Linked DNA regions of Tamandua tetradactyla. The protein of the gene in region 1 purifies or fractionates together with the protein of each later gene. This does not show direct contact. Links are inferred from orthologs where the notes say so. Each region holds a gene or a part of one and is shown in the gene's direction. Other genes may lie near its edges. The genes, in order: SIN3B, KDM5A and SAP130.

Region 1 (10,317 bases):
GAGAGAGAGAGAAAGTAAAAAGTCAGCCTGCACAATGGGAGACAATATTTGGAAATGACATATCAGATAAAGGTCTAGTATCCAGAATTTATAAAGAGATAGTTCAACTCAACAACAAAAAGACAGCCAATCCAATTACAAAATGGGAAAAAGACTTGAACAGACACTTCTCAGAAGAGAAAATACAAATGGCCAAAAGGCACATGAAGAGATGCTCAACATCCCTGGCCATTAGAGAAATGCAAATCAAAACCACAATGAGATATCATTCCACACCCACCAGAATGGCCATTATCAACAAAACAGAAAATGACAAGTGCTGGAGAGGATGCGGAGAAAGAGGCACACTTATTCACTGTTGGTGGGAATGTCAAATGGTGCAACCACTGCGGAAGGCAGTTTGGCGGTTCCTCAAAAAGCTGAATATAGAATTGCCATATGACCCAGCAATACCATTGCTAGGTATCTACTCAAAGGACTTAAGGGCAAAGACACAAACGGACATTTGCACACCAATGTTTATAGCAGCATTATTACAATTGCAAGGAGATGGAAACAGCCAAAATGTCCATCAACAGACAAGTGGCTAAACAAACTGTGGTATATACATACGATGGAATATTATGCAGCTTTAAGACAGAACAAACTTATGAAGTATGTAACAACATGGATGGACCTAGAGAACATTATGGTGAGTGAGACTAGCCAAAAACTAAAGGACAAATACTGTATGGTCTCACTGATACAAACTGACATTAGTGAATAAACTTGGAATATGTTGTTGGTAACAGAGTCCAGCAGGAGTTAGAAACAGGATAAGATAATGGGTAATTGGAGCTGAAGGGATACAGACTGTGCAACAGGACTAGATACAAAAACTCAAAAATGGACAGCACAATAATACCTAATCGTAAAGTAATCATGTTAAAACACTGAATGAAGCTGCATCTGAGCTATAGGTTTTTTTTTTTTTTTACTATTATTATCACTTTTATTTTTTTTCTCTATATTAACATTCTATATCTTTTTCTGTTGTGTTGCTAGTTCTTCTAAACTGATGCAAATGTACTAAGAAATGGTGATCATGCATCTTTGTGATGATGTTAAGAATTACTGATTGCATATGTAGAATGGTATGATTTCTAAATGTTGGGTTAATTTCTTTTTTTCCATTAATTAATAAAAAAAATTGCAATAGAGCATAATAAATGTTTTATCAGAATCTTATAAAGTATAATGGTGACCAAAGGTGTGTTAGGGATGGTAAAAAAAAACCTCAGAAATGGACAGCACAATACTACCTAACTGCAATGTAATTATGTTAAAACACTGAATGAAGCTGCATGTGAGAATGATAGAGGGAGGAGGGCTGGGGACATAAATGAAATCAGAAAGAAAGATAGATGGTAAAGATCGAGATGGTATAATCTAGGAATGCCTAGAGTGTATAATAATAGTGAAATGTACTATGTACAAACTTTAAAAATGTTTTTGCATGAGGAAGAACAAAGGAATGTCATTATTGTAGTGTGCTGAAAACAGATGATAATTAATACTTTAAAATGTCACCTTCTGTGTGAGACTAAAGCAAAAAAATGTTTATTTGTTACAAAATTTATATTTTGACTAGAGCATTTCCTAATATAACTCATGTAGATAGTTTGATTGAATGTCGTAAGAACTTGGAATCTGAGGTAGGACATGAGATTTTGTTGGTTTGCCCAGAGTGATGCCCCAATGAATCCCAGAGTGATTTGATCAGTGACTGGAAAAGTATTTGCAAGCCCCCTTCGGGGAATGGTGAGAACTGGGGAAAACTCAACTTCCCCAAGTTGAATTCTTGATATTCTCACAAGCAGTGTGGACAACCAAAGCTATAGGCTGAGCCCCCAGTCTTGGGGTTTGTTCATATGAAACTTAACCCCACAAAGGATAGGTCAAGTCTACTTAAAATTTAGGCCTAAGAGTCACCCCCAAGAGAGCCTCTTTTGTTGCTCAGATGTGGCCTCTCTCTCCAGCCAACATGATGAGCAGTCTCACCACCCTCCCCCTGTCTGCGTGGGACATGACTCCCAGGGGTGTGGACCTTCCTGGCAACGTGGGACAGAGATCCTGGAATGAGCTGAGACTCAACATCAAGGGATTGAGAAAAACCCTAGAATGAGCTGAGAATTAGCATCAAGAGATTGAGAGAACCTTCTCGACCAAAGGGGGAAGAGTGAAATGAGACTAAGTGTCAATGGCTGAGATTCCAAACAGAGTCGAGAGGTTATTCTGCAGGTTATTCTTATGCATTAAGTAGATAGATATCACCTTGTTGTTCAAGATGTAGCAGAGAGACTGGAGGGAACCGCCTGAAAATGTAGAGCTGTGTTCCAGGAGCCATGTTTCTTGATGATGATTGAACAATGATATAGCTTTCACAATGAGACTCTGTGAATGTGAAAACCTTGTGTCTGATGCTCCTTTTAGCTACTATATCAACAGAAGAGTAGAACATATGGAATAAAAATAAATAATAGGGGGAACAAATGTTAAAATAAATTTAGTTTGAAATGCTAGTGGTAAATGAAAGCAAGGGGTAAGGGATATGGTATGTATAATCTTTTTTTTCTTTATTATCGTTTTATTTCTTTTTCTGTTGTCTTTTTATTTCTTTTTCTAAATCGATGCAAATGTTCTAAGAAATGATGAATATGCAACTATGTGATAATATTAAGAATTACTGATTGTATATGTAGAATGGAATGGTATCTTAATGTTTTGTTTGTTAATTTTTTTTAATTAATAAAAAAAAGTTAAAAAAAAAAAAAGATGTAATGGAGAGGCTGGAGGGAACTGCCTGAAAATGTAGATCTGTGTTCCAGTAGCCATGTTTCTTGAAGATGATTGTATAATGCTATAGCTTTCACATTGTGACTGTGTGATTGTGAAAACCTTGTGTCTGATGCTCCTTTTATCTACCTTATGGACAGAGGAGTAAAATATATGGATTAAAAATAAATGAATAATAGGGGGAACAAATTTAAAATAGATTTAGTAGGATGAAATACTAGTGATCAATGAAAGGGAGGGGTAAGGGATATGGTACGTATGAATTTTTTTTCTATTTTCTTCTTCTGGATTCATGCAAACATTCTAAGAAATGATCATGATGATGAATATATATATATATATTTTTTTAAAGTGCAGTTCTACCAGCTAAAGGTCAACCCCCAAAGCCCTAAATTATCCCTAGGATTCTGCTCCCACTCCACTCAGCATCCACCCCCTGCACCTCCTCTCTCCCTCCCTCTCTGCAGTCCAGGAGTGCTGGCCTTTTTGTCTGTTGTAGAACGTGCTGTGCTTCCCCTCCCACCCCAGGGCTCTTGCACAGCCGTTCAATCGGACTTTTCTCAGGGTTAACACCTAGCACCCTTCAGCTCTCAACGGGAGCCCCGCCTCCTGGGGGAAGCCTTCTCCATCTTCTGCTAAACTGGAGTAAGTCCCCCGGGAGGCAGAGAGCATTTTCCAAGACCTGTCATGGCAGCATTTCCCACCTCGCATGCTGTTCCAGACCCTGGCACTGCCCAGTTGTGGGGCCCATCTGCCCTCCTCTCGAAGTGGGGCGGGACCCCATAACTGCCTCTCTGGAAAGGACGCGGTGCAGAAGCCTGTGCATGACTTCCGAGGGCACGAAGGCTGGGGCGCTCCAACCTGGCTGTCTCAGGACACCTGCTCTCGGAACCCAGCTGCACACAGCGTCTCCTCTCTGACCGAGAAGTGACCACTCCCCTGACCCCCACCCCCTCTGCCAGCCCTCCTGCAACTCCCGGAAGCACACAGCCCACCCTGAGGGCATCTTACGTTGAGAAAAAAGCATATCCCCAGATGTTTTCCCAAAATGTGCCCGCAAGCCCCTGGCCGTCAGCATGCTTAGGGCCCTGGGCCTTTTTAATCTAAAGAGTGGGTCCATAGGTGCCGACATACCAGAGCGAACTTTTTGCCATCATGCTGTCTGTCCCAAGGTAGCTGCAGCTTTCTGGAAGTTTCCTAATAAATGCCTAAGGACCAGTCGTCCTGGTGTCCAGTCCTTCTTTCTTCGGAAGCTCAACAGGCCCACTGTGGGGTGGTTTGGGGCAGTCCCAACTGGGTGTCCCCCTCTTTCTTTCTCGATGACTCCTGCTGTTGGTTCAGCGGATGCAACACCATTTCGTCGGGAGACTCCAGCTGCATGGGGAAAGGGAGGTGTCCATGCGATTGTCCCAGGGAAGACCTCACACAGCAGCAAATACCAGGCTTGGGAGAGAGCAAAGCCTCCCAGATGTGGAGGATGAAGAGCTGAGCTCTCCCCTCCCCACCTGCCCCAAGCTGTAGTTTTGTGCATAACATAAGGCTTTAAGCCTTCAAGTCTTGAGTGTGCTTTGTTACTTGGAAATAGTGACTGGAATACTCTGTTACCTCCTCTTGGAAGCATTTGTTACAGTTAAGCCTTTACATCACATGTGTCTGCACAGAAACAATTGTTTGTATAATTCCTATATATCTATCCTAAAAGGCAGAGAGCTCTGGAAGGGCAGAACCAGCTCAGTTTTTTTTTTTAATCATTATTCCATTCCTGATGCCTTACACAGAGCCTGGCACATGATGCCATCATTTCATATTTAGTCTCAGCTTCCCTGCCCATCTTCACATATGAAAAACAAGATGCCACGTGGTCATGAGTTGAATGTTCACTCACTCGATCAGTGCTCGCTGATGTGACCATGTCAGGCAACTGTTTTAGAGATGAAGCATAAAACAAAAATGACATGCCTGGGACTATGAGAATAAAAGGCAGGGTCTGAGAAGCTTCCCAAGGGAGGGGACATTTGAGATGGGTTTTGAAGGATGTGTAGGAGTTTTCTCAGCAACGAGGACACAAAATAGGGACCATGGAGGAGGACATGGCATGTCCTGATATATGGGGGTAGGAAGCAGCCAAGCTGGTTAGGAGTAAGTTGGATGTTCTTCCCTCATAGAGAGCACTTGGCTTGGGTGGGAAATCCTGCCAGGAAAGGTGGGCGGGGGACCAGTTTCTGGTGGTCTTCAACGCTGCGTGAGGCTGCTGAGATTTAATCTCCTAAGACACAGGAAGACCCTGGATGTCTGGAAGCAGAGGTTTAGGAGCGTCTCTTGATGGAGATGGAGGTGAGAAAACTGGGGAAGAGGCTGCTGCCTCAGCTCTGCCTTCCTGGCCCAGCTCTGCCACCTGAGCGCAGAAGCAGCCACAGATTCAGGTGGAAACCCACGTGCGGAGACACTGAATTGTGAATTTCACAGCATTTTCGCGCAACACGAAATGCTCTTCTTTTGTGGATTTCCCCCCACCCCCAACTTTTTAAAACCGCACCGACCACTCCGACAGCGCTCGGTGGCCGGAGAGGTTATGAGCTTGCTCACCTGTTGTAAAAGCTTCACAGAGAGGCCCCGCCCCGAGGAAACCCCGCCCACGCCGAGGAAACCCCGCCCCTCCCGGCCCCACCCCGGGGCGGGGCCCGCGCATGCGCCGCTGGCGGCCGGGCGGGAGGGGCGGGGCGGGCCGCGGCTCCGACTTCCAACATGGCGCACGCTGGCGGCGGCGGCGGCGGCCCCGCGGGTCGGGGGCTTGGGGGCGCCCGCTGGGGCCGCTCGGGTTCCGCGGGCCACGAGAAGCTGCCAGTGCACGTGAGTGGCGCCCCGCCCTCCGCTGGGGACCCAGGTCCTCCCGTCTCCTCCGGTCTCCTCGGGCCGCCCCCCCTCAGGCCCGCGCCCCCCACCCGGCCCCGCCCGGCCCGGGCGCCGCCTCGGCCTCCCCAGACCCCGGCCCCCGCACCCCGGCCCCGACCCTCACCTCCACCGCCCTGCGGGTCCCCGGCCCCCGCTCCGCTGACCCGGGCCCGCCGGGACCCTCCCCCTCCCTGCAGGTGGAGGATGCCCTCACCTACCTGGACCAGGTGAAGATCCGCTTCGGCAGCGACCCTGCCACCTACAACGGCTTCCTGGAGATCATGAAGGAGTTCAAGAGCCAGAGGTGCCCGCGGGGTCCCTTCCTCCTCCCTGGGGGGCCTCCCCTGGGCTGCCCTGCTCTCCCCGAGTGCCGGGTGACCTTGTGCAGGTTGCTGATCCTCTCTGAACCTCAGTGTCGTCTTCTAAAAAATGGGAGTGGGTGGTCCCCACCCCGTGGAGCTGTTAAGGGGATTCCTGGAGGCAGGGCTGCCATTAGGGTGAGGCCAGCAGGGCAAGGGGGGTGGGGGTGGAATCCTGCCTGTTGAGAATGCTGATCTTTAATAGATTCAGCTGATCCAGGAACCCAGGAACTGCTTGCAGTAATTCAGAATCTTGTACAGTATCAAATTAAAATGTTATTTATTCTGAGGTTCTTGGCGATCCCTCCCCTCCACCATAAATTTTGCCCCTGGGGGTGAGGCTGTCGCTGGGCTTCGCCCTAGGCCCGGCCCTGCTTGGAAGCAATGGGGGTAAAATGCTTACTAAGGGACCTGGCACGCAGAAAGCATTTAAAAACACGAGTTGTTTTTGTAGGCACAGAATCAAGAGAGTTAGGGACAGTTGGGGAAGCACAGGACCAGGCGTTTGATTTACAGAAGGCTGGACTGGAACTCAGACCCTCCCACCCATGAATTCTCCCTTGTCTCCTTCCCACCCTGCTGCTCCCCAGTCTCGGGAAACACGGCAGGGCTCTCTTTCTGTGACTGAAGGAGGGCCCATCTCTCCCCTCACGTGCCTGTGCAGTCCTGATATCTACAGGGCCCCCGGTGTTTATACACTGCAGCAAATCGCATGGGCTCGAGACTATCCCACGTCACGTTTGATCCCAAATTCATCCTGTTGTGTGGAGGGCTTTGGCTCCTGCCACTCCTTCGCATCCAGGACTTGCAAGCTCGCTCTCCTGGCCATTTCAGATGCACATGCCCAGGCTCAGAGTGTTTGGGGGAGCAGCCTCATGTCCTGTTGGGGTTCTTCAGGGTCCTCACGGGATGAGCATACAGAGCCAGGCCAGGCTGCCCTGGAAATAGATCATTGCCTATGGAATCTTGCCAGCCGCCAAGACACTCTAGGTGGCCTTGCTGTTGATGATAAGCCGGTGCCGTGGCACTGTCTGGAGACAGCGTAGGGGAGCTTGTGATTTGCTCCCTGGGACCCTTTTGGCCACACGCATCCGTCTTTGTTGTAGCATCGACACTCCTGGTGTCATCCGGCGCGTCTCGCAGCTGTTTCACGAACACCCTGACCTCATCGTGGGATTCAATGCCTTCCTACCCCTCGGCTACAGAATCGACATTCCCAAGAATGGCAAACTAAACGTCCAGTCGCCGCTGACCAGCCAGGTATGCCACTATAGGGGCGTGAGGGGCCATGCGGTGCTGGATGGCGGGCCTGTGCCCCTGTCATCTGGCTGCCTGAAAGGCGCTGGGGCTCCGTCCTTCCCCAAGGTGTGCCGGCTGCTTCCATCCCAAATCAGAATAGATGGCAGCTCCCACCCGGGCAGCAACTGCACCCCAAACGGAGCAGTTGGGAGGACTGAAATCAGGGGTGGAAACATTTGTGTGCGTCAGGGAGGTGATTTTCTAACGCAGAATTTTACTTTTAGTCCAAATAACGGCTTCAGCAGCCGCCACTGCCTCGGTTTAAGACTGAGCCTGGAGTGTCCCTGACAGATCCTTCCAAGTCCCCAGACTTGCCCCTGTCCACCCTGGAAGCTCTCGGTGCCTCCAGTGAAACCCCGTTTTTACGATGAGTGCCTAAATGGCAGTTTTTATTGTTGCCGTGTTTCTTTAATACCTGTTGGGGTTGCTGGCTCAGGTCAGCCTCTCCCACCCCCAGGGTCATGGCTTCAGCTCCCTCCTTCTCTGGTGACAGGTTGCTGTCTCCCTGCAGTCCCTTGTTGTCTGAGCTTACAAGGCCCTCTGAGCCAAAGAAAGCCTATTTGAGCTTTACATTTAGAAGGTAATCATTGAATTTTTCCCAGCACTATTGCCCTTTGGAGCAGTTTGTTGCCGTGGAGGTAGGGTTGGCTGGCCGGTGCCTTGTGGGGTTTTTAAGCAGCGCCCCAGCCTCTACACACTGTATCCTCCAGCTGTTGCAACTGAAACTGCCCCCAGATGCAACCGAGTGACCCTTGGGGACAAAATTGTCCCTGGTTTGAGAACAACTAGTCTTAATGTACTCCTCTGGTCCCTGCCCCCAGGATTTCCGTAGAAAAGGTAAAAATCTGCGCAGGAGGCTCTGGGTAGGTTTCTCCTTTGATGGCAGAGTCACATGAATTAGGGAGTCGGGATCTGGAAAAAGAACTGCGAGAGGCGATGTGGCCGCGGTTGCCCTCTCTCCAGGGGTGGGTTGCACGTCAAGTCCCCATTTGCTGTCTGCCCAGCAAGCTCCCCATCAGCGTGCTGTCTCATTAAAGCTGAAAAGTGCATCTCAGTCTTAGAAACTCGGAAGTCTGGTGGTTGCTGCACGAAGAAGCCCTTCCATTCCATGCTTGCAAATGGATGCAAACGCAGGGCTCATGCCTGCAGTCGCTAAGAGCCTTGGCGGTGCCCAGACGTCGGGGAATGGATGTGAGAGCACTTCACGGAGGCTGAAGCACCTGTGAACATCGGGTGTAGTTAGCATTTGCTGAGAAAGAGCTGGAGTCGCAAGCCCCTAATTGCACTCGGCACATGGAAATTGCTTTTCAGCGACCCCTGACTGTTGGAGTAACTCTGGGGGCTGGGTCTTGGCGTGGAAAGAACTGGTGGGTTCTGAGACGATGCTTCCCTCAGGAGTTGCAGAGTCCCTGCTGCGCCGATGGTGGAAGCTGCCATGCATGTGACAGAGCCGGCTGCCACCCCGTCTCACCCTGCTTGGCTTGGGTGCCAGCGGTCTGTGGCCTTGCAGAAGGCTTTTAAGACCCTTTACTTCACAGCTACTAGACAAGGTTTTACCCTCTGCAGCCTGGAAGCAGCCGTTTCCAGGGCTTCATGTCTTGGTTGGAAAGATGCTTTGAATCCCGCTGTCTCAGTGGGTGTCGATGGATACAATCTGATTTCCAGGCTCTGCTTCCCAGCAGCCCATGTCATCCTCGGCATGCCTTCACTGTAGGGACGAGCGGGGTGACATTTGGGGTCCTGGGAACCCTTTGCAAGGTCCTCATAGCCTGAGGACCTCTTAATCTGCCCTAATGCAAAACCCTCAGGGTGATTTATTTATTGGTTTTTCTCACTTCACCATTTGGAAGTACAGCTTTTTTTTTCATATGTGTAATTTTCCCATTTCTTCATAAATCTCGTCCCCCTCAGACAAGAGTGGCTGCTAGACACCAGGGGTGCTAGTGAGAGAGGCCCAGGCTTTGGGGAGCCTTTGGGCAGGGCTCTGAGCTGCGGTGCTGCTGCCACGTGGGGCCAAGTGTTCTCTGAGGGGGGTGGGGGTGGGGGGGATGGCTTGCAGATGTTGGCCTGTGTCCCAGGCGGGGGGCAGGCTGGCGCAGGTGTAAGCATGCTGCCTGTCTCTTAACAGGAGGGTAGACAGGTGTGGGCCACGATGAGGGGTGCAGGGGAGCCAGCCCCATTTGGGATCTGCTCATCTGGCTTCAATTACAGTGTTGCCTCCTTGGGGAGCCCCTACTGTACCCCCTGGTCAGTCCCAGCCCACCCTGCTCTATATATTCCAGAATAGCTAAGCTGGAATGAGAACGTCAGGCCCATGCTGCTTGTGCTTTGCTTAGGGACTGCGCGTGCTTGAGGTTGGGCCGGCCCCTCCCTGTATTGTCCTCGGCCGTGTCCCCGTTCCCCCAACAGTGCCCGAAGCGTACCGTGTGTTTGCGAAACAGGGACCAGGGAAGGCCCGTGGAAGCTGGCAGAGGGGACAAACAGCCTGGCCCAGGGAGGTGGCAAGGCAGGAGATCCTTGGACTGCTGAAAACGAGAACCCTGGGCTGCTCCTAGGACACCAGGACAGCTGTGAGAGGCGTGGTAGTTCCTGGAACCCACAGGCCTGGCTCTGGAAGGTGTTGCGGGCGCGTCTGCTGGGCGCCCCAGGAGCCACGTGTGATCGCTTGGCTTCTGGCTGCCTGTGGGACGTACCGGCACTCCGGTGCTCACACCCCCAGGCCGAGGAGAGAAAGCTGCGGCGCAGGAACTAGAGCAGGGTCAGCAAACCTAGCAGTGTGTACGTTTTTTGCTGGTTACGTTAAAAAATGTTTTTGTTGTTGAGATAAAATTCACATAGCAAAGAAGTCACCGTTTTAACCATCAGAAAGTATCCAATTTCATTGCTTTTAGTACGTTCCCAATTTTGTACAGCTGTGACCACTGTCTGATTT
Region 2 (10,519 bases), on another chromosome or scaffold:
GACATGATCATGAATTAATTCTATGAAATGTCCTCATTGCAAGAGACAGGCCAGCACTTGCCCAACCAGAAAAACAGGTACTGCCTCTTGGCCAAGTTGGCACATGAACCTGACCATGACACATATTAAGAATATTTCATTAAAAAAAAAATTAATGGACTTTTAAGGAAATTGTGATGATCTAATAAAGTTCAATTAGTGCAGGGTAGCATTCGAAGTGAAGGAAAAAAATGCACATAAGGAAGAGTTTTTAGTTAAAGTATTACATTTGTATCAGGATTTGGAATATTGTGACAACATGTCTTTCATTTAGCCATCAAGAAACATAATTGAAAGTTATAAAGGTAAAGAGAAATTGAATAATGTGTGGCAGCATTTCAATAGAATTATCAGAGTTAAGTATTTATTTTATTCTAGCACTTAGGGTAGTAATACATAATACTGTAATAATATTTAAAAGTTTTTCTTCTGAGATGTTATTTTCAAGGAAAGTTTAAATTATGAAGAAAAAAAACCTAACACCATTAAACTGTAGCTATGGATTCAGCAGATCTGTCCAGAGACCCAAATACTATTGTGACAGTCAATTTAACATCCTGTGTGTAGATTGGTGCCATAGGAACTATAAAACACACATTTTGGGTCTTTATAATAGTTGAGTCTCAAAGGGATGGGTATGGGGGGGTGGGAGGGGGAGGTGGGGAGTCACCTCCTCTTCCTTGGGAAGCATCAGAATCTGAGGTAGGTAGAACTGGAGAACTTTTTTATCCCCACCACAGATTGATTTACTGCCTTTCTCTTACAGACTCACTGCTAGAGAAAGTGATTGTTAACAGATTTCTCAGGAGCATTGAGGCGGATAAAAATTGATTGAGAAATGACCCAGCAATCCCACTGCCAGGTATTGTATCCCAAAGAATTGAAAGCAGTGTTACGAAAAGATATTTTGTACACCAGTCTTCATAGCAGCATTTTTCACAATAGCCAAAAGATGTAAACAACCCAAGTGTCCATATAAACAGAATGTGGTATACACATGCAATGGAATATTATTCAGCCATGAAAAGGAATGAAATTCTGAAACATACGACAACATGGATGAACCTTGAAGACATCATGCTGAACAAAATAAGTTAGACAGAAAAGGGCAAATATTGTACGATCTCACTAAAATGAAATAATTAGAATTAGCAAATCCATAGAGTCAGAAATTAGAATACAGGGTCAAGGGTGGGGGTAGGGAATCAGGAGTTAATGCTTAACTGGTACAGAGCTTGTGTTTAGAGTGATGGTAAAGTTTTTTTATTTTTTTCTAAACATAACATACAAATATGAACATTCTTACCATAAGATCATTTCATTCTTGGTATATAATCAACAGCACAATATCATCACATAGTTGTATATTCATCACCATGATCATTTCTTAGAACATTTGCATCAATTCAGAAAAAGAAATAAAAAGAGAAAGTTCATACATACCATACCCCGTACCCCTCCTTCTCATTAACTGCTAGTATTTCTATCTACCCAATATATTTTAGTCTTTGTTTCCCTTTTTTTTCTATACCCTTTAGATGGTAAAATTTTGGTAATGGATGATGGTAATAGTAACACAACATTGTGGCTGTAATTAACAACATGGAATTATATATTTGAATGTGGCTAAAAGGGAAAAATTTAAGTTGTTTATATGTTACAAGAATAAAAATTTTTAAAATGATAGAGAGTAATTTTCTATGACTATAAGTTCTGTTAGGGTGACAGTTTAAGATAAAGTAATAGGTAAGTATAGCTTGAAAGAACAACAGGAAACAAATAGGGATGATCAAAGTTTTAGGAGTTGGCACTCATAGAGGGCCTATAATAGGATTATAAATATCCTATTATTTATAAAATAACATAAATAAATTATTACTTTATTAATAATTTTAAAGCAAAACCATTATATTTTAATTGAATGCTTAACCAAATGAATTATTTCAGTGTTGTGCCAGTTTGAATGGATGTATGTACTCTAGAAAAGCCATGTTTTAATCCTAATCCCATATTGTAAAGGCAGTCGTTTCTTCTAATCCCTATTCAGTACTGAATGTTTGAAACTATAATTAGATTATCTCCCTGGAGATGTGACTCAATCAAGAGTGGTTGTTAAACTCTACCCATTCCGGGTGGGTCTTGATTAGTTTACTGGAATCCTATAAAAGAGGAAACATTTTGAAGAAAGCAAGAGATTCTAAGAGAGCAGAACAACATAGCCACGAAAAGCAGAGAGTCTACCAGCTAGCAACCTTTGGAGATGAAGGAAAACTCCTCCTGGGGAGCTTCATGAAACAGGAAGCCAGGAGAGAAGCTAACAGATGACACTGTGTTCACCATGTGCCCTTCCAGCCGAGAGAGAAACCCTGATTGTGTTCGTCGTGTGCCTTTCCTCTTGAGAGAGAAACCCTGAACTTCATCGGCCTTCTTGAATCAAGGTATCTTTTCCTGGATACCTTAGATTGGACATTTCTATAGACTTACTTTAATTGGGACATTTTTGTGGCCTTAAAACTGTAAACTTGTAGCTTATTAAATTTCCCTTTTAAAAAGCCATTCTGTTTCTGGTATATTGCACTCCGGCAACTAGCAAACTAGAACAAATGTTTTTATTTAGATTTCAATTATTACTCCTTTTTTTGTGAATAGTATGGCTTTCCAGATGTAAGTAGTAAAAATCTCAGACTTTTATCGTAAATCATTCTAATTGTATGCAATGACTCACACTTCCCTGCATCCATATCCCTTTGCAATGTTATGTTGTTACTCCTCCCATCATGAAATGAAGTCTATTTCACACACACCCTGAATCTAGGATGGCTTTCTAGCTTGTTTTGTTCAACAAAATGCATTGGAAGTGATCGTGTACATCCTGAAATCCAGTCCTTAGGCTTAGGCTTAGGCTTCCATTCTCACCCTCCTGGAACCCTGAAGCCATCATGTTGCGAAAAAGCCCAGTTTAACCATGATGGGTTAATTTCATGTATGCTGGTTTGAAAGGATGTATGCCCCCTAGAAAAGCCATGTTTTAATCAAAATCCCATTTCATAAAGGTAGAATAATTCCTATTCAATACTGTATGTTTGAAACTGTAATCAGATCATTACAATGTTGATGTGTATGTGGATGATGTGATTTAGTCAAGAGTGATTGGTTGTTAAGTTGGATTAGGTGATAACATGTCTCCACCCATTTGGGTGGGTCTTGATTGGTTTACTGGAGTCCTATAAAAGAGGAAATATTTTGGAGAATGGAGATTCAGAGAAAGCAGAGAAGAATGACATAGCCACGAGAAGCAGAGTTCACCAGCCAGCGACCTCTGGAGATGAAGAAGGAAAATGCCTCCCGGGGAGCTTCATGAAACAGTAAGCCAGGAGAGAAAGCTAGCAGATGACTCTGTGCTCGCCATATGCCCTTCCAGATGAGAGAGGAACCCTGACCGTGTTCACCATGTGCCTTTCCAGATGAGAGGGAAACCCTGACTGTGTTTGCCATGTGCCTTCTCACTTAAGAGAGAAACCCTGAACCAAGGTATCTTTCTCTGGAGGCCTTAGATCGGACATCCTATAGATTTGCTTTAATTGGCTCATTTTCTCAGCCTTAGAACTGTAAACTAGCAACTCATTAAATTCCTCTTTTTAAAAGCCATTCTGTTACTAGTATATTGCATTCTGGCAGCTACCAAACTAGAACATCATGTATCACCTTGGCCAGGTTATTCTTTCTAGTTATTTGTCAAACAAGCAGCGGCCTGATTATTACTGGGAGGGTATTGCATGGATTTTAATCATTAGTCAGTCAATTGTCTGTGGATGATTACATCTACAATCAACAAAGGAAACTGCCTTCAGCAATGTGAGAAATCTCCTCATCCAATCAGTTGGAGACCCTAAAGAGAGATCTGAGGATTTTAGCAGTCAGAAATAACTTTTATCTCTATTTCAGCCAGCCCTCCTCTCCTGAGGAATTCAAAATCATCTTCAAGTTCCCAATTTGTGGTCTGTCCAGCAGAATTTAGACTTGCCAATCCCCGTGGTTGGTAATGTGAACCAATTTCCTACAGTAAATCTTAACATTTATATATATAACAAACATACATATGTATACACACACACACACACACACATATACACACACATATATATCCTGTCACTTCTACTTCTCTGGAGAACCCTGACAAATCCACTAATTTGCCAAGTATGAGAAGCTATGTGGAGAACTGGGGCTTCTCAGCCAACAGCCAGCACCATCTGGTAGACATGCAAGTGAGACCATCTCAAACCGTTCAACCCAAGCCATCAGATGATTGTGGCTACATGAGTGATTTCAGATGAGACCAAGAGAACATCAGATTCTGAGGTTGTTTGTTATCCAACAAACAGAAATATTCCCTAAAAGTGTTTGCATATGGGGTTTAGGTTAGTGGGTATGAGTAATTGGGTATTAACTACTGTGGATGCTATAGTTAAACAAAGGAATATTATGTATGTCACATCCTGATACAGTCTCAAACAAAATTTGGCATATGTAAATATAGGATGAGGCAATGAAACACAAGGCAGTTTATTTGGTGAATGTTTTTTATTTATTTAACAAGAATTTATTGCATACCTTCTATGTACCAAGCATCCCCAGGAGCTGGGGATACTTTCCAGAGGAAGTGATATTTCAGCTGATGTATAGGAAGAAGGATACATAGGAATTTAACCAGTAAGAGGATATACATAATTGTTGGAATGGTGTGGGGTCAGGAAAGTACAAAAATGTTCCAGACAGAGGAAATATTACTTGTGAAGGCTCAGAGGTGAGAGTAAGCAGGATGTTTTAAAGCCATCACAAAAATTTATGTGGCATACATGGAGGAGTATAAGCGATGAAGCTAGGAAGAAATACAGAAAGTAGTAAAAGAGTTTGGATATGAAAGTGACAAGATGAATTCTGGGTTTCTAGACAAATTAATCCAGAGTCTGACTGGAGGGGCAAAGAACTGAGCAGTTATCACAGTTTGGGTTAGAGAACTTAAATTAGGATACTGGTAATGAGGACTGATAGACACAGATGGATTTAAAATTTTGGGGTGATACAATCTCCAGTCTTCACACACGATTGTATATAAGGGGAAAAGGAGTATAAGGAGTTAAGGATTATTTCTAGATTTCTGGCTCAAGCAATTGGATGAAATCATTCATAGAACCAGAAACACTGAATGATTTTAAGTGACCCAACTGGAATTGTCCAGTAGGTAGCTGTAAGTATTGGCTTGGAACTGGGTTCAGAAGACTAGGCTGGAAATACAGATTCAGGAGCCTAAATTGGCAATTTAGGTCCGGAGAGTAGCTGAGGCTGCCTGGGGAGTATGTATATCTAAAAAGGGAATCTAGGACGAAAGTTTACCTCCCAGTGTTTACTTAACACTAACGTTTCACAGTTTTCCTTTTAGTCCCTTCTACGTTACTCTCTACAATTTGGAGAAAGTGGGAGATAGACACTGACACACATGTTTCTGACAAGCAATGGTTATGGCTTTCACGGCAAATTGAGAAAGGCTTACGGGGCCAGGGTTGTCAGAAGGAAGTGGTTACTGTTATATGAGATGACTTGGAGCATGACAATTACCGGATAAGCAAGGAAAAGAGCTGCTACGTCTATGTGGGACGAAAAGCAATTCCTGGATGGGAGCTAATGTCCTACTGCAAGACTTGGGGGATAAATTCGACCAGAAGTTGCCATGGAGGAGGGGAATGGCCCAGGAAGATTACTCGAGATACTAGCAGTCAAAAAGACACACACACACAAAAAAAAAAAGAAAGAAAAAAGAAAAAGAGAAGGAGACACGTTGAAAAGGCTAGTAACTTGGTAAAAGGAAGGCAAGTAGGTTAAAACAAGCCGCAAACCACCAGCAACGGGGCGGAGTGAGTGAAGTTAGAACAAGCTCCTTTTCCTGTCCTCTTATACACAAAAGGGAACTGGACCCTCCACACCGGAAGCAGAACCTCTGCCCTCTGAAGCATTACACATTCCTCCGCGCCGGAAGAGCGCGTCCCGCCTCCGCCCCGGCAGCTTTACACCATTTCTACCTCTTCTGGAGGAGTGATCGTGGAACTCTCAAGGGTGGGCCGTCTGGACTCGTCGGACTGCGCAAAACAGTCGCCGGCAAGGAGAGAAGGAGCGACACTGCGCTTCCGGGAAAGGGAGGAAGAAGAAAGGGTCGCATAGCGAGGCGTCGTGGCGGAGGGATTTGATAGTACGTTGACTTCCGGAAAAGTCCTTCCCTTGAGAGGAAAAGCCCCGGAGGAAACAATAACAAACGAGAGGAGGAAGCGAGTCTGGTGTTCCTCTATTGAGCAGTTTTTGTCAGAGAAGATGTGCTTCGGTCCCTGTCAGGGGACGTGAAAGGCTTGGTGGGCTTCAGACAGCCTTTTTCCACCTGTTCGCCCACGGAGCCCTCCTGGGTATTGCCATGGCGGGTGTGGGGCCGGGGGGCTATGCGGCGGAGTTTGTGCCACCCCCGGAATGCCCAGTGTTTGAGCCTAGCTGGGAGGAGTTCACAGACCCACTCAGCTTTATCGGCCGCATCCGGCCTCTGGCCGAGAAAACTGGCATCTGCAAGATCCGACCGCCCAAGGTACTGAAGTCTGTGAGGACTCTTGGTTTAGCTTTATTTTTCCGGTTTTTCTGTCATTACGTATTTATTCACCCTTCTTTTTCAGCAGTTCGAGGCTAAGGTTCTGTATATTATTACCGTGTCTTTTATTTCTGAAGTCGAGATAGTGGTGTGTGTCCCTGGGAGCTTTTCCTTCTAGCGCTTGAAAGCTGATAGTTTTCTCCTTCTTTGGATTGAAGGCATGGGTAACAAAAGGCCTTTCGTTGTCCTACAAGTATGGCCTTCGATGTATTGGGAGTATTAGACTTTAGAAATGTTATGACGTGACATGTACCTCGTGTTCAATCCACATAACGATGCGATTATAAAACTGTTCTTCCTTCTGTTTCTTTATCCAGGTCCTATTACTGTTTAGTTTATTAAATATTCGCAGGCTTCATCTCAGTGTTAGGGTATCTTAATAGGTAATCTGAGCTCTAGTTGTTCCCCAGAAAGAAACGAGAACCCCAGACTGGATTATTGCAGCACTGAAAGTCTTCCCAGGGGTAGAGAAGGAGCAGCATTTATCTTTAAAATTTAGAGGTTTAGGAAGAATTGGTTGTGTCTTGGAGGTGAAAGAAAATGTTGAACTCTCTCGATCCAAGGAACCAAGGATCAAAGATGTACGAGTCGCGTTATTTCTAAATAACCAGATATGTTGTAGGTTTATTACCATCATCGATCTTTAATATAAGTTAAGGAAAACAGATACTACCTCTTTGGGTGAATTAGTGCCCCAAGAGGTTAAGTGATTTGCGCAAGGTCACAAGGTTTATTGGTCGCTTGAGTCATACAGGATCTCAGGTTATCTAGGTATTGTCTTTATCACATTAGACATATGCTTTTCGAATGATATTCTTGGTCCACCTGCACCAGGGTTAACTGGATGCTTGTTAAAATGCAGATTTGTAAGCCTCATTCCCAGACTAGATAGATCAATTTCTGGAATCTGCTTTTCTAGCAAATTACTTTCATATGATTCTTAATGCACATTAAATTTTGTGCACCATTGTCTTGGACAGTGCTTCCAGAAGACACCTTCCTTTATGTTTTGTTTTAGTGGTAGTAAACAAAATATTAGGCACTGTTACTGTGTTGGATTTTAAAAACTTCTCTCTTAGATTGTCATAGAAAATTCATTTGTCCTCACCATAGACTACCACAGCAAATAAAAGGAATTTAGCTGGGAAGCAGGAGGTGGGCAGGGAGGAGAAGCTAATTTAGCCCCTCCTGTTTGGCAAGGGCTTTGTATGTATATATTGTTTCAGTAATCTTCTGTGAAGTTTTAGTAAGTAAATAAAGTCCTCATTTTATAGATGAGGCAAGTCTCCGTAAGTTAAGTCAGTTATTAAGTGTGTGATCATGGGTAAACTGCAAGGTATATTTTTGAACCTAGGTCTGTAAACAGATTCTAAAGACCATGCATGCTATTCCTACTGTGATGAATGAATTGATTAAGATCATAGACTATCAGTTGTAAACAAACAATTAACAGGTAATTACTATGGTGATATGTATCACCATCTTCTAAAAGCTTCAGTAACCCTCATTTTCTGTCAGAATTACCTAATATTGACAAAACCTTCAACATTAAGGTTTTTTTCTAAACTGTATTTTAATCTACTCTGTTGCCTTTATTAATTAGAAATTTTAAATAAAGTTTTAGTAAAATTGAAGACGAAAAAGTTTTAAAGTACTTAATACACATTTGCAAATATGTTTTTACATTTATGTGTAATGTGATATAGCAGTTTACATTCTATATTATGAAAATCTTTAATTAAAAAAAATTTTTTTAAAGAGGTTGAAATAGTATACCTTCTCTTGTGTGTTATATCATTTTTATTGAAATAAATCTTGTTTTACAAGCAGAATTTAATCTTAATATTGGTGGGTTTCTTTAGTTTTCAAGGGAAGATAATTTTTTTGAACTACTACTCAGATTTTTATGTGCCAAGTCAAACTTTATTCTCTAGAACTCCACTTGAAATATGCTATCTCATTTCAGTTATTCCACAGCATCCATCTGGAGATTTTCCTTGTCCTAGTGGGTTTGCAAACTTTTTTTTTTTTTATATTTGGGTTCCAGAAGCTGGGCTTTCATTTAAACAAAGGATTTTTGTAATATAGAATGTAAAGTGCTATGTCACATTACACGTAAGTATAAAAACATATTTCCAAATATATATTAAGTACTTTAAGACTTACTTTTTGTCTTTAATTTTACCTTTTTTAGTTTCTTTCAAATTCTGACTTTTTTTTTTAAATAAAGTTGGATGTTTATTGGTACAGGGGCTCATTGCATTCCACTTGAAATAATTTGGGAAAGCATAATTGTGGGAAATAACAGGACTGGTGAGATTTGAAGAGATATTATTTTTTTGAGTATTATTGAAATTATTTTATCTAAGAAATACAATTCTTTCTGTTTCTCTAATAAAGAGGACTTATAATTTGATTGTTCTTATTATAATCTGTGGCAACTCACCCCTTAAAATAAAGGAATGGATAATATATTCATACCCTTGTGTTAAAAAACAATTCTGTCTATTTAGGATTGGCAACCTCCATTTGCATGTGAAGTAAAAAGCTTTCGCTTCACTCCCCGAGTCCAGCGCCTGAATGAACTTGAGGTGAGTGTTATGTCTCCATTTCTGCATCCTAATTCATTCTTTATGTGAGGACTCCAGAGAGAAATTTGAGAAGCATGTACGAGGGCACAAAGTTAGTGATAATTGGAATTGAGATTTGGAGGAAGTTATCTGATTAATTATGTATTTTTAATGAGAGAAGTTGTAGGTTTAGAGAAAAGTAATGTAAAAAGTACAGTGTTCCTGTATACCCCCCATTGTTGACACTGCATTACTGTGGTACCTTTGTTAAAATTAATGAAAAAATATTAAAATATTAATTGTAGTCTATAGTTTATATTACTTTCCCCCATATACCACCCTATTAGTAACACTCTGCAATAGTGTCATGTATTTGTTGTAATTCATGAAAGAACATTCTCATATTTATACTATTAACTCCAGTCCATCGTCCACAGTAGTGATCACTGTTGTGTAGTCCCATGTTTTGTCTTCTTTCCTTCTTAACCTATCAACCACATTCACAAGAATAATCCAGTGCTATTAATTACGCTCACAGTAATGTGCTACCATCACCACTATCCATTTCCAAATGTTTACATTCAACCTAAATAGAAATTCTGTACAAATTAAGCATTGGCACCCCAGTCTCTACCTCCAGTGTATCCCCAGGTAACCTATATTCTAGATTCTAACTCTGTGAGTTTGCTTTTTATAATTAGTTCATGTCAGTGAGATCATACAGTATTTGTCGTTTTGTTTCTGGCTTATGTCACTCAACATGAAATCCTCAAGGTTCATCCATGTTGCCGCATGCATCAGGACTTCATTCCTTTTCACAGCTGAATAATCCTTTGTATGTATATACATTTTGCTTATCCATTCATTGATTGATGGACATTTGGGTTGTTTCCATCTTTTGGCAATTGTGAAAAATGCCACTGTGAATAGCGGTGTTTAAATGTCTGGGTCCTTGCTTTCAATTCTACTATATACCTAATAGTGGAATTGCCAGATCATATGGCAGTTCTATACTTAGCTTCCTGAGGAATTTCCAATCTGTCTTCCACAGTAGCTGCACACTTTTGCATTCTCACCAGCAGTGAATGGGTGTTCCTGTTTCTCCACATCTTCTCCAACAGTTTTATTTTTCTGTTTGTTTAATAGTGGCCATTCTGGTAGGTATGAAATGATATGTCATTGTGGTTTTGATTTGCAGTTCCCTAAAAGCTTGTGTTCTAGTCTG
Region 3 (10,135 bases), on another chromosome or scaffold:
AGTAGGGCCAGGAGATCTGTCTAACTGAACAAGCCATTCTAGCCATCAACAAGCTGAACCCCAAGCTGAAATTCTTTGTTCTGTGTAGTGACCTCATCCATGCCATGCCAGGAATGCCATTGTGAGAGGAACAGACGGAGGATCTGCAGCACTGCTCGCGGGCATCGACAGGGCCATCACACTAGTCTTCGTCAGCCACAACCACCACGTCAGCAATACCCCCACAGCTGAGTCCCTGGTGGAGTTCCGTTAGACCTGGGTAGACGACTGTTTCAGCTTCTGGGTTGAGGGCATCCTGTTCCTCATTCTCAATTCCCAGCTCTTCTACAATGCCTCCAAGTGCCCAGCCCTGAAACAAGACCAAGACCAGTGGCTGGATGAGCGGCTGAGCACCGCAGGGGAGTGCTGGTGCCAGCATGCCTTCATCTTCCAGCATATTCCACTGTTCATGTAGAACACTGAGGAAGACAATGACTCCTTCAACCTCAGCAAGTCAGTCCGTCAGGAGCTGGCAGATAAGCTCACCAGAGCAGGTATCAAAGTTGTGTTCTCAGGCCACTACCACAGGAATGCTGGCGGCACCTTCCAGAACCTACCATGGTGGTGTCATGGTGGCCATCAGATGCCAGTTGGGCAATCACACCCATGGGCTCCGAGTCACCATGGTCACCACTGAGAAAATAGTTCATCGATACTACAGCTTAGATGAGCTGAGTGAGAAAGGCCTAGAAGATGACCTGATGGATTTGATGAAGGAAAAATGATTGTCCTCTATAATCTATTCACTTTTTAATTCCACTGTTTTTGGTTTTACCAGAAACAGCAGCTGCACACATATCCTTATTTAAATATAAAAGTGGACCAGGCAGATTTGCAAGATTTTGTCCTTTTGCATAAATTGGGGAGTTGAGTCTTACCCTAAATTATATTCAAAATAGAACTGCACTGTCTTTAAAAAAGAGAAAGGGGGAGCCTAAAAAATAAGAAGAAGAAAAAAGGTATTGGAATATCTAAAAACAAAACAACAATAACAACAACAAAAAAAAAAACAATGGAGGTGAGTAACTTCCAAGGCATCACATCCTTTATATGTATGGCTCATTTGATCTATATGAGGAGATTGAGAAAAGTAATCGCTTTACAGATGAGGAAACGAGAAGGGACTAGGCTTTCCCTGGCTGGGTATTTGGACCAAGGGGAGCATATGAAACTAGAGAATGCACAAGGATCCAGATGTTAGCATGCCAGGTCCTGCCAGAGTGAGAACCAGCTGGGTTAAGCAGGAGAGAAGCCCATGAAACTTTTATTAACACCAGCAGACCACACACTGACATCTGATTGACTACCACAAGTCACCTGCATTGAGAATTTGTCCTTCTTGTTGGCAGACAGTCCTTCTCTAGAAAACAACTTAGCAGGTGAGGTGTCTAAATTTTTTTGGCTCAACCTTCCATATTATCTTGTGTAGACATCATTTTTAGGAATGCAAGAGAATAGTAAGCTCCTAAAACTTTGGCAGGTGGCTTTAACTCTTGAGTAAGAAGAATGTTTTCAGCCTCAATTAGTATACTAAGCTCAGTAGATGGGAGTTCTAAGTTCAGCAACATAACCTTGAGCAAAGCACCTACCTTCCTTCAAGTGTCCCTTATATAAGGGACTGGAGATAGGAATGAATATGGCAGCAGAGACTGTCCCTGGTAACTAAGGACCACTCAGATTTCATTCATGTGCTATGGATGTATTTGTGATTATACTAGGTAAACTACTGAATGCCACCTGTATATAAAGTCCCATAGATGGAAGAAAGGATGAGTAATTTCTCTCTCATCCTAGTCCAGGAGAAATAAAGGGTAGGCACAATTAGTCTTGGAATAGAGTGCCTGAGGAAATTCCACAGAGGTATTCAGAGAGTAGGGGGGTGTGGGTAGGAATTTGAAGAAAGTTTCTTGGAGAATATAAATCTTCTTTGTTTGTTTTTTGGTTAGGAATTATAGAATTGACAGAATGCTAGCAGATGATTGCAGAAGATTGAGACCTATAGAAAGTATTTCAGGCTTGAGCAAAACTCTGGAAGCCAAACTGTATGGAGAACTGATGGAAACTGTTGCTGAAAAGAGCATTCAGTGTTTGAAGAGGTATAAAGGGTTGAATTACTAAGGCCTTTGAATACTGAACTTAGGGTATTGATTGTATTTGAAAGTTATTGGAACATCATGGGAGGCACAGACAGACTCAGGTAAAGGCTTTAGAAAAAGACCTCTGTGGAGGACTATGCTGGTTTGAAACTGTTATGTACCCCAGAAAAGTCAAGTTTTTAAAAATTCTAACACGATCTTGTGGGGGAAGACTATCATTAAGCGGAGCCTTTTGATTGGGTTTTTCCATGTGACCTGCCCAACTGTGGGTGGGACCTTTTGATTAAATGGAGATATGATCCCACCCATTCAAGGTGGGTCTTAATTAGTTTTCTGGAGTCCTTAAAAGAGTTGACACAGAGAGCAGACACAGATGTTTGGAGATGCACAAGATGCCAGAAGCCCCAGGATATGCCAGACGTTGAGAGAGCTGTTTGAAACCAGAAGCTGGAAGGGACAGCAGAGGTTGCCATGTGCCTTCCCATGCAACAGAGAAACCTCAGACAGAGAAAATCAGCCTTTATTTTGAGAAGGTTTCTGTGCTGGTTTGAAAGGATTTGTGTACCCTAGAAAGGCCGTGTCTTAATCCTAATCCCATTTTATGGAGGCAGCCTTTCTTTAATCCCTATTCAGTACTGTAGGCTGGAAACTTGATTAAATTATCTCTACAGAGATGTGACTCACCCAATTGTGGGTATTAACCTTTCATTAGAGGTGACTCCACCCATCCCAGTTTACTGGAGTTGTTTAAAAGAGGAAGCATTTTGGAGAAAGAGACAGAGCCACTAGAGAACCATAAGAACCATGGGAGAGCCACGAGAACCACAAGAGCCCACGCAGCCAGAGACCTTTGGAGATGAAGAAGGAAAACACCCCAGTGGGAGTTTCATGAAACAAGAAGCCTGGAGAGAAAGCTAGCAGATGCCGCCATGTTTGCCATGTACCTTTCCAGTTGAGAGAGAGACCCTGAACTTCTTGGCCTTTCTTAAGTGATGGTAACCTCTTGTTGGTGCCTTAATTTGGACATTTTTATAGACTTGCTTTAATTGGGAAATGTTCATGGCCTTAGAACTGTAAGCTAGCAACTTAATAAATTCCTCTTTTTAAAAGCCATTTCGTTTCTGGTATATTGCATTCTGGCAGCTAGCAAACTATAACAGTATCCTCTTGTTAGGTGCCTTAATTTGGACATTCTCACAGCCTAAGAATTGTAACTTATAACTTAATAAATCCCCTTTATAAAAGCCAATTCATTTCTGGTATGTTGCATTCTGGCAGCTTTAGCAAACCCAAACAATGATAGACAGGGGTTAGGAAGAGATTAGAAAGGAGGCTGTATTACTGTGATCCAGACAAGAAATGGTGAAGCCCAAGGCTATGGAAGTGATTGGAAAGGATGCAGAAAAGTCATAATGAATACAATATAGCAACTTCGGGAGATGGGAGAGTGAGAAACAAGAAGTCTGACGAAAGACTGAAAGAGTGGTAATGCCCAGGAACCCAGGGAGCAGAGCAGATAGGTGAGGCAAATCAATACAACCTTTTAATAAGTTAAGTTTGAGGAGCTTGTCAGACAGTGATGTGGATTGGTACAGCTCCTGGGTATACCGGGGTACAACTCAGAGAGAGGTCACCGTGTAGGTAAACATTGGAATCACTCACAAATGTGACATTTGAAACTGTGCGAGTTTATTGCCCCATTTATGAAGATAGTAAAGTATCAAAAAAGAGTTGGGGCCTTAGAAAATACCATATTTATTTCAAGAGAAGGTGTGATGAAGCTTGAGCAGAACCAGGAGAGAGTGTGATTATGGAGGCCAGTGGAAGATCATTTTAAGGAGGAATTCCTGGTCATTAACTAAACAACATGAGAACTAAGCAAGGACCACCAAATTTGAAATTGAATACGTCACTGGCCACTTTTAGGGAGCAGTTTGAGAAGGATGGCAGGACCAGAATCCACAAGGGGTAGAGAGAGGAAGCTAAAATATGTAATGCGAGTTACTTTTGGAAGATGTCTGGGAATGAAGGGAAGGGAGAAAGTAGCTTGAGGGAGGAGGGCTGGTATTTGAGACTCACTCTTGTTACTCTGAGCTACTCTCCTCCCAGCAAGCAGCTGTCTTAGACAGCTGTGCAATGATAGGAAGAAGGGATCTGAGCCGGAATTATATCTTAACCCGTCACAGCGCTCCCAGGCCTAATTACTACATAGGGAGGAACGATGGGGACGCAGACCCTCATTTTGCCTCAGCAGCTTTGGCTGCAGGTTTCACGAATGTATAAACTGCACCTATCTGCGCCCGACAACAGAAACAGAATGAACCCATGTCCTTTCCGCGGCTTTACGGCCGCGACAAAGAGCACCAGGACGCGGCGCCCCGGTTCGTAGCCAGGGCCCCCTCTCCGAGTCTGCCTGCTGCGCTGAGGTGCTGGGGCCCCCACGTTGCTTGGGCTTCGCGGGCCAGGGCCTCGGGGACGAGTCAAGTGCCACCACGGCGGAACGCTGACCCGCCACACCACGACCTCCATTGCCCTTTTCGCGCGCCACGGCCCCTTAACGTCTCAGGAAAATGGAACACAGTGCCTCCGACAGTGTCGAAATGGGGGTGACCCGCCGTGTCCCCGGTCGGTGAAGAAAAACAGTAGACGGTGCCCAGACCTCTGAAGGGCCCACAGCTCCAGCCCAGGTCACCAGCAGGCCCCGCCCCGGAGTTTCCCATCGCCCTCGCGGCCCGCCCTCCCGGCTCCATGGACTACATTTCCCAGAAGTCGCCGAGGCCTCGGGAGGCGGGCCCGTCTGCTCTCCCGCTCACTTGGAGCGGCAATTGGTCTTCCCGGGGGAGGGCGGGGCCGGCTGCGGCCAATCGGCGGGAGGCTCGTTACGGCGGCGGAAGCAGCGGCGCTGGGCTGAGGGGTGGGGGGCAGAGTGCTAGTGCCCCGGCGGCGGCGGTGGCGGGTCCGGAGCCCGAGGACGGCGACCCCAGAGGCGGACGGCGCACGGGGGAGAGCTCGAGGCGGCGCGGCGACCACCCGGCGCAGCGCCCAGGTCATGGCGGGACGGGCGCCGGGGCTGGGAGGGGAGGTGGCGAGGGGGCGGGGCGCCGCGCCGGGCAGCAGCGTCCGTCCCGCCGCGCGTCCCCGGGGAAGGGCAGCGGGGCTTGGCGCCCCCAGCCGGGACTCGGGCTCCTTCGCGACCTGGGCACGGCGGTTGTGCCGGCCGCAGGGGCTGGAGTCCCGCTGCGGAGAGGGAAGAGGCGACTGGGAGGGCCGGGCTGGCCGGGCGTGGGGGCGTGGCGGGCCAGGGCCTGGGCGGGGAGCTGAGGGCCGGGGACGCGGGCGGGCGGCCGGGGTAGTTTGGCTCCCGGAGCAGTTTAAAGTGACTCTCCACATCCGGGCCCTGCGCCCGCCGCTTTCAGACCGGGGCCGAGGCGGGGCCTGCCAGCTCCCCGCCCCCTCCGCCGGGAGTGCCCGGCTGCTACGACCATTGGCTCGGTCACCAGGGGCGGGGGCGCCCCGGCCAGGCTCGTACCTGATTGGTCGGTCGTCGGCGGGAGGGAGGGGCGGGCCCGAAGTGCGACGGCCGCAGCGGATTGGCGCTGGCCCCGAGTGACGTGACCGGCGTTGGGCCAATGAGTGGCGGGGGAGGCGGGGGAGCGGGCCGGTGGCCCAGAGGCTGCCAAGCCTTGAGGGCTAGGCGGCCGGCGGGGCTGGACAGCGGCGCGCTTGCCCGGCGTCCCATCCTCGCCCCTCGCCCAGTGCCTCTAGCGACATGGGCCCCCCACGACCCCCGGTGAATGGCGAAATGGGGACGGGTGGCGGGAGACGGCTGCAGGTACCAGGGTGCTGGTTGTCCTGTTCCCCCCAGACGGAGCCCCTGAGACCCCCGGCGGCTGAAACCTCTGTCTCTCTCTGTCGTGGGCTTTGGGGCGGGGAAGCGCCTGCGAACTAATGGAGGAGATCCGGAGAGCTGGGCTCCTGTGGGAAAGTGGGCACGAAAATGACTGAAGCGCTCGGGTCCCTCAGGCTCCTGGGGGGGAGGGGGGTCTGTGAAACCAGGAGAAAAAGAGGAAATCTGTAAAGGCCTTTACAAAAAAAGCATTTGAGAATTTTTTTCTGGTCAGGTCTTGACATACGGTTTCTGATCCTCTCTTAGGATCCGGCATCTCCGTTCTGAATTCTCCTATATGACAGATTGAGTATGGTTCTGTTCACCTTGGTGTCAGGTTTAAACCAATCACAGACAGGCTCCATTCCCCCTAAAACTTTACACGGACACGTGTGCATCATGTCAGTAGCTGTAATGTGGCTGTTGTACAGGATTCCCTGTTCTTTTTTTTTAGTCTACAGTCCACAGGTATTTAGAGGGTCATGGTATCCCCCAGCACTGTAGAAATGATTTTATTAATTGAGCCTGAATACATAGCAGATACAGAATTTAGGTTATTTTTGCCCTGTGTATCCATCATAAGTGATTTTCTTTTTTTTTAGAAAACTTGTTGCATTTGCATTTCTGAGGGAAGATAATATTTAATATTGTTTCTAATCTCAGAATCTAGCCATAATCATATGACTGTATTTACTGCAGGTGGAAATGAGTTCTCAGCAGTTTCCTCGTTTGGGAACCCCTTCCACTGGGCTGAGCCAAACTCCTTCACAGATTTCAAGCAGTGGTTCTGCAGGATTGATAAATCCAACTGCTGCAGGTAAGATTATAATTTTTACACCATATAAGAGTGTGTTGCTCATTTTCTGATTTAAAAATTAGCAAATTTCCCTAGAATTTTAGTAAACACCAAGTAATTTTAATTTGAAAACAGGATATTTTACAAGTCTTTTTGTTTTTTTGTTTTAACCACTTCATTGACATGCATCATTGTATATTGTGCAACTTATAGTAAAGCTTGCCTACAGGAATATATTTTTTAAATGTGTTAATGTGCTCCTGTCCAAGGCTCAGATGTATGGTGATAGCATCATTGGGGAACAGAGGTATGTAAAGTAAAGGATAGGTCTTGCCTTTTAGGAATTTACTACCTGGAAAAGAGGGTAAGAAGTCTTTATGCAAGTTTTGGCTAGGCGCCCCTTAAATGCTGTGGATCCTTGCCTTTCAGTAGAGGATGATTTTGCCTACTAGGGAATGTTTGTCGATCTCTGCAAACATTTTGGTTGTCCCAGTGAAGATGCTACTGGCATCAGTGGGTAGAAGCCAGAGATGCCACTGTTTATCCTGCAGTGCACAGTCACGCTACATAACAAAGAAACACCTGGTCCAACGTCGCAGTAGTGCTGTGGCTACAGAGGCCTGCAGAGCCCTGCTTAGAGGAGAAGTGACCTGGGAGTCAGAAGAGGAAAGTTCCTTACCTTTCAGTGTTGTTCTTGATTCTCTGTCAAATGTTCTCTTTCTCATCTTGCTTTGTATCAAATCAAAAGGTGGCATTGCAAAGTGAAGTGGCTTTGCAAACTGTGTTCCTTATATGGTAGAAGGTGGCGCCATCTACTCATTGCTTGAAGAGCTCAGACATCATCTTTAATTGCTTTGTCTGTGCCTTTTACCTACAAGCTGTGACACCTTTCTCATGTCCCAGTCTCATTTCCTGCTACTTTCCCCTTCTTCCAACCCTTTACCTTTTTTCAGTTTACTTTTTTCAGTTCATTCTCATGCTTGTTAGACTTACAGATACTTTAAACTGCTTTATGCCTCCTGCTTTATATTATCTATTGATTTGATGAACGAATGATGAAACGTTCCCAGTGTTCATGACCTCAGGCCTCTGTACGTTTCATTCCTTTCACTGCCATCTTCCTGTTCACACACACTTCTATGGCTAATTCCTATTCTTCAGGTTTCATCTCAGATGTCGCTTTCTGTGTTGATGGCATCTTTGCCAACTTCATCGTCCACAGTTCAGTCTTAGACCTCCTCTGAGACTGAAGACTACTTGAGGGCTGGGGTTGTGTCTGTCTCATGCTCCTTATGACAAAATAGTGTTCAAGGTAGTGGTCATAAGTTCTTGTTGAGGGACTTGAGGTTCTTTTTATTCCCTAAGAAATATTTTTGACAATATTTTATCTTTGGGATAAATTGATTGAAGGGTTATTTAAAGTATAGTATAGCTAAAGAAAATATTTTGAACACTTATCCTTTGCAAGGAATTACACAGCTCATTTTAGAAAGTGTTAATTAGCAATAATTTCTCTCAAACCTTGTTGGTTAAATGAAAAGAAAGTCATAAGTTTACTTCATAAATTTACTTTTGAAGAGTATATATGTATATGGAAGTTTATTTCTTCAATTACACTAAAAAAGTGTATAAAATTTTTTTCTGAGTAAGGTACAAATTCAATATACAATTATTTCTAAATACCAGCAGTGAACAGTGAAAGTTTTTAAATGTCATTTTCAATAATAGGAAAAAAGCATGACATGTAATCATAACACAAAATTGTGAATGTAATTAATATTGCTGAATTTTCCCCATGAAAGTGGTTAAAATGAGAAGTTTTTTATATGTTACCACAATTTTTTTTTAATCGTGAAATACGTAAGGATAAATTTAACAAAGCATGTGCAAAACCTGTAGTCTGAAAACTAAACATCGCTTAGAGGAATTAAAGAAGACCTACAAAATGAAAAGATATTTCTTGTTCCTGGATTGGAAGACTCAGTAGTTTTAAGTTATCAGTTCTTCCGAAAGGGAGCTATAGAGTCAAAGAAATCCTAAACAGAGTCCAGCGGGCTCTTCTGTAAAATTGTCAATCTGATTCTAAAATTGATAAGGAATTCTGAAGCACCTACAATAGTCATAGCAATTTTGACCCAAAAAATAAAAATTGGAGAACTATAGTACCTCATTCCAAGACTTTTATAAATCTGCGCTAATCAAGACTGTATGGTATTGATAGAAATGTAATTCACTGGAACAGAGTGGAGATCCGGAAATAAACTCACACATTGATTTTTTTACAAAAGTGCAAAGATAATAGGGAAATGATAGTCTTTTCAACAAAATAGTTTTGGAACCATAGAATATCCATATGGAAATAATGAATTTTGACCTTACATTCACTGTACCCAAAAATTAACTCAAAATGTATCATAGGCCTAACTAGAAAACTTAAAATTTCTGTAAGAAAACATGGGAGAAACTGTTGGCAATCTTGAGGTAAGCCAGAATTGCTTAGATCACAAAAACACTATTCATGAGAAAAAAAGTTGATACATTGGACTTCATCACAATTAAAACCGACGGACTGAGAGAAGGCGTTTGTAATAGATGTATCTGCAAAGGATTTATGTGCTGGTTTGAAAGGAAGCATGCCCCCTAAGAAAAGCCATGTGTTAATATAAATCCCATTTCATAAAGGTAAAATAATCTCTATTCAATACTGTATGTTTGAAACTGTAATGAAATCATCTCCCTGATTGATGAGATTTAGTTAAGAATGGTTGTTAAACTGGATTAGGGGATGACATGTCTCCACCCATTTGAGTGGGTCTTGATTAGTTTCTGAAGTCCTATAAAAGAGGAAACATTTTGGAGAATGAGAGACTCAGAGAGGGCAGAGAATGCTGCTGCACCACGAAGCAGAGAGTCCACCAGCCAGTGACCTTTGGAGATGAAGAAGGAAGATGCCTCCCGGGGAGCTTCATGAAATAGGAAGCCAGGAGAGAAAGCTAGCAGATGACGCCGTATTTGCCATGTGCCCTTCCAGCTGAGAGAGAAGCCCTGACTGTGTTTGCCATGTGCCATCTCATTTGAGAGAGAAACCCTGAACTTCATCAGCCTTCTTGAACCAGGGTGTCTTTCCCTGGATGCCTTTGATTGGACATTTCTATAGACTTGTTTTAATTGGGACATTTTCTCGGACTTAGAACTGTAAACTAGCAACTCATTAAATTCCCCTTTTTAAAAACCATTCCGTTTCTGGTATATTGCATTCCAGCAGCTAGCAAACTAGAACAACTTACATCCTGAATATATAAGGAGCCCCTTCAACTC

The links.
Region 2: the proteins of SIN3B (region 1) and KDM5A purify together in Homo sapiens (affinity purification with mass spectrometry; 4 studies listed by BioGRID and IntAct, with this or other methods). This does not show direct contact. The link is inferred for Tamandua tetradactyla from reciprocal best matches to the Homo sapiens genes SIN3B and KDM5A.
Region 3: the proteins of SIN3B (region 1) and SAP130 purify together in Homo sapiens (affinity purification with mass spectrometry; 3 studies listed by BioGRID and IntAct, with this or other methods). This does not show direct contact. The link is inferred for Tamandua tetradactyla from reciprocal best matches to the Homo sapiens genes SIN3B and SAP130.

What each region holds. Positions count from the first base shown.
Region 1 is NC_135337.1:95,277,158-95,287,474, forward strand, and holds the start of SIN3B (paired amphipathic helix protein Sin3b), read left to right. Parts: upstream 1-5,580; coding exon 5,581-5,685; intron 5,686-5,924; coding exon 5,925-6,031; intron 6,032-7,192; coding exon 7,193-7,346; intron 7,347-10,317.
Region 2 is NC_135333.1:64,210,213-64,220,731, forward strand, and holds the start of KDM5A (lysine-specific demethylase 5A), read left to right. Parts: upstream 1-6,071; 5' UTR 6,072-6,499; coding exon 6,500-6,664; intron 6,665-9,237; coding exon 9,238-9,315; intron 9,316-10,519. UniProt on the Homo sapiens protein: Histone demethylase that specifically demethylates 'Lys-4' of histone H3, thereby playing a central role in histone code. Does not demethylate histone H3 'Lys-9', H3 'Lys-27', H3 'Lys-36', H3 'Lys-79' or H4 'Lys-20'.
Region 3 is NC_135329.1:84,673,879-84,684,013, forward strand, and holds the start of SAP130 (histone deacetylase complex subunit SAP130), read left to right. Parts: upstream 1-5,845; 5' UTR 5,846-5,904; coding exon 5,905-5,925; intron 5,926-6,720; coding exon 6,721-6,838; intron 6,839-10,135. UniProt on the Homo sapiens protein: Acts as a transcriptional repressor. May function in the assembly and/or enzymatic activity of the mSin3A corepressor complex or in mediating interactions between the complex and other regulatory complexes.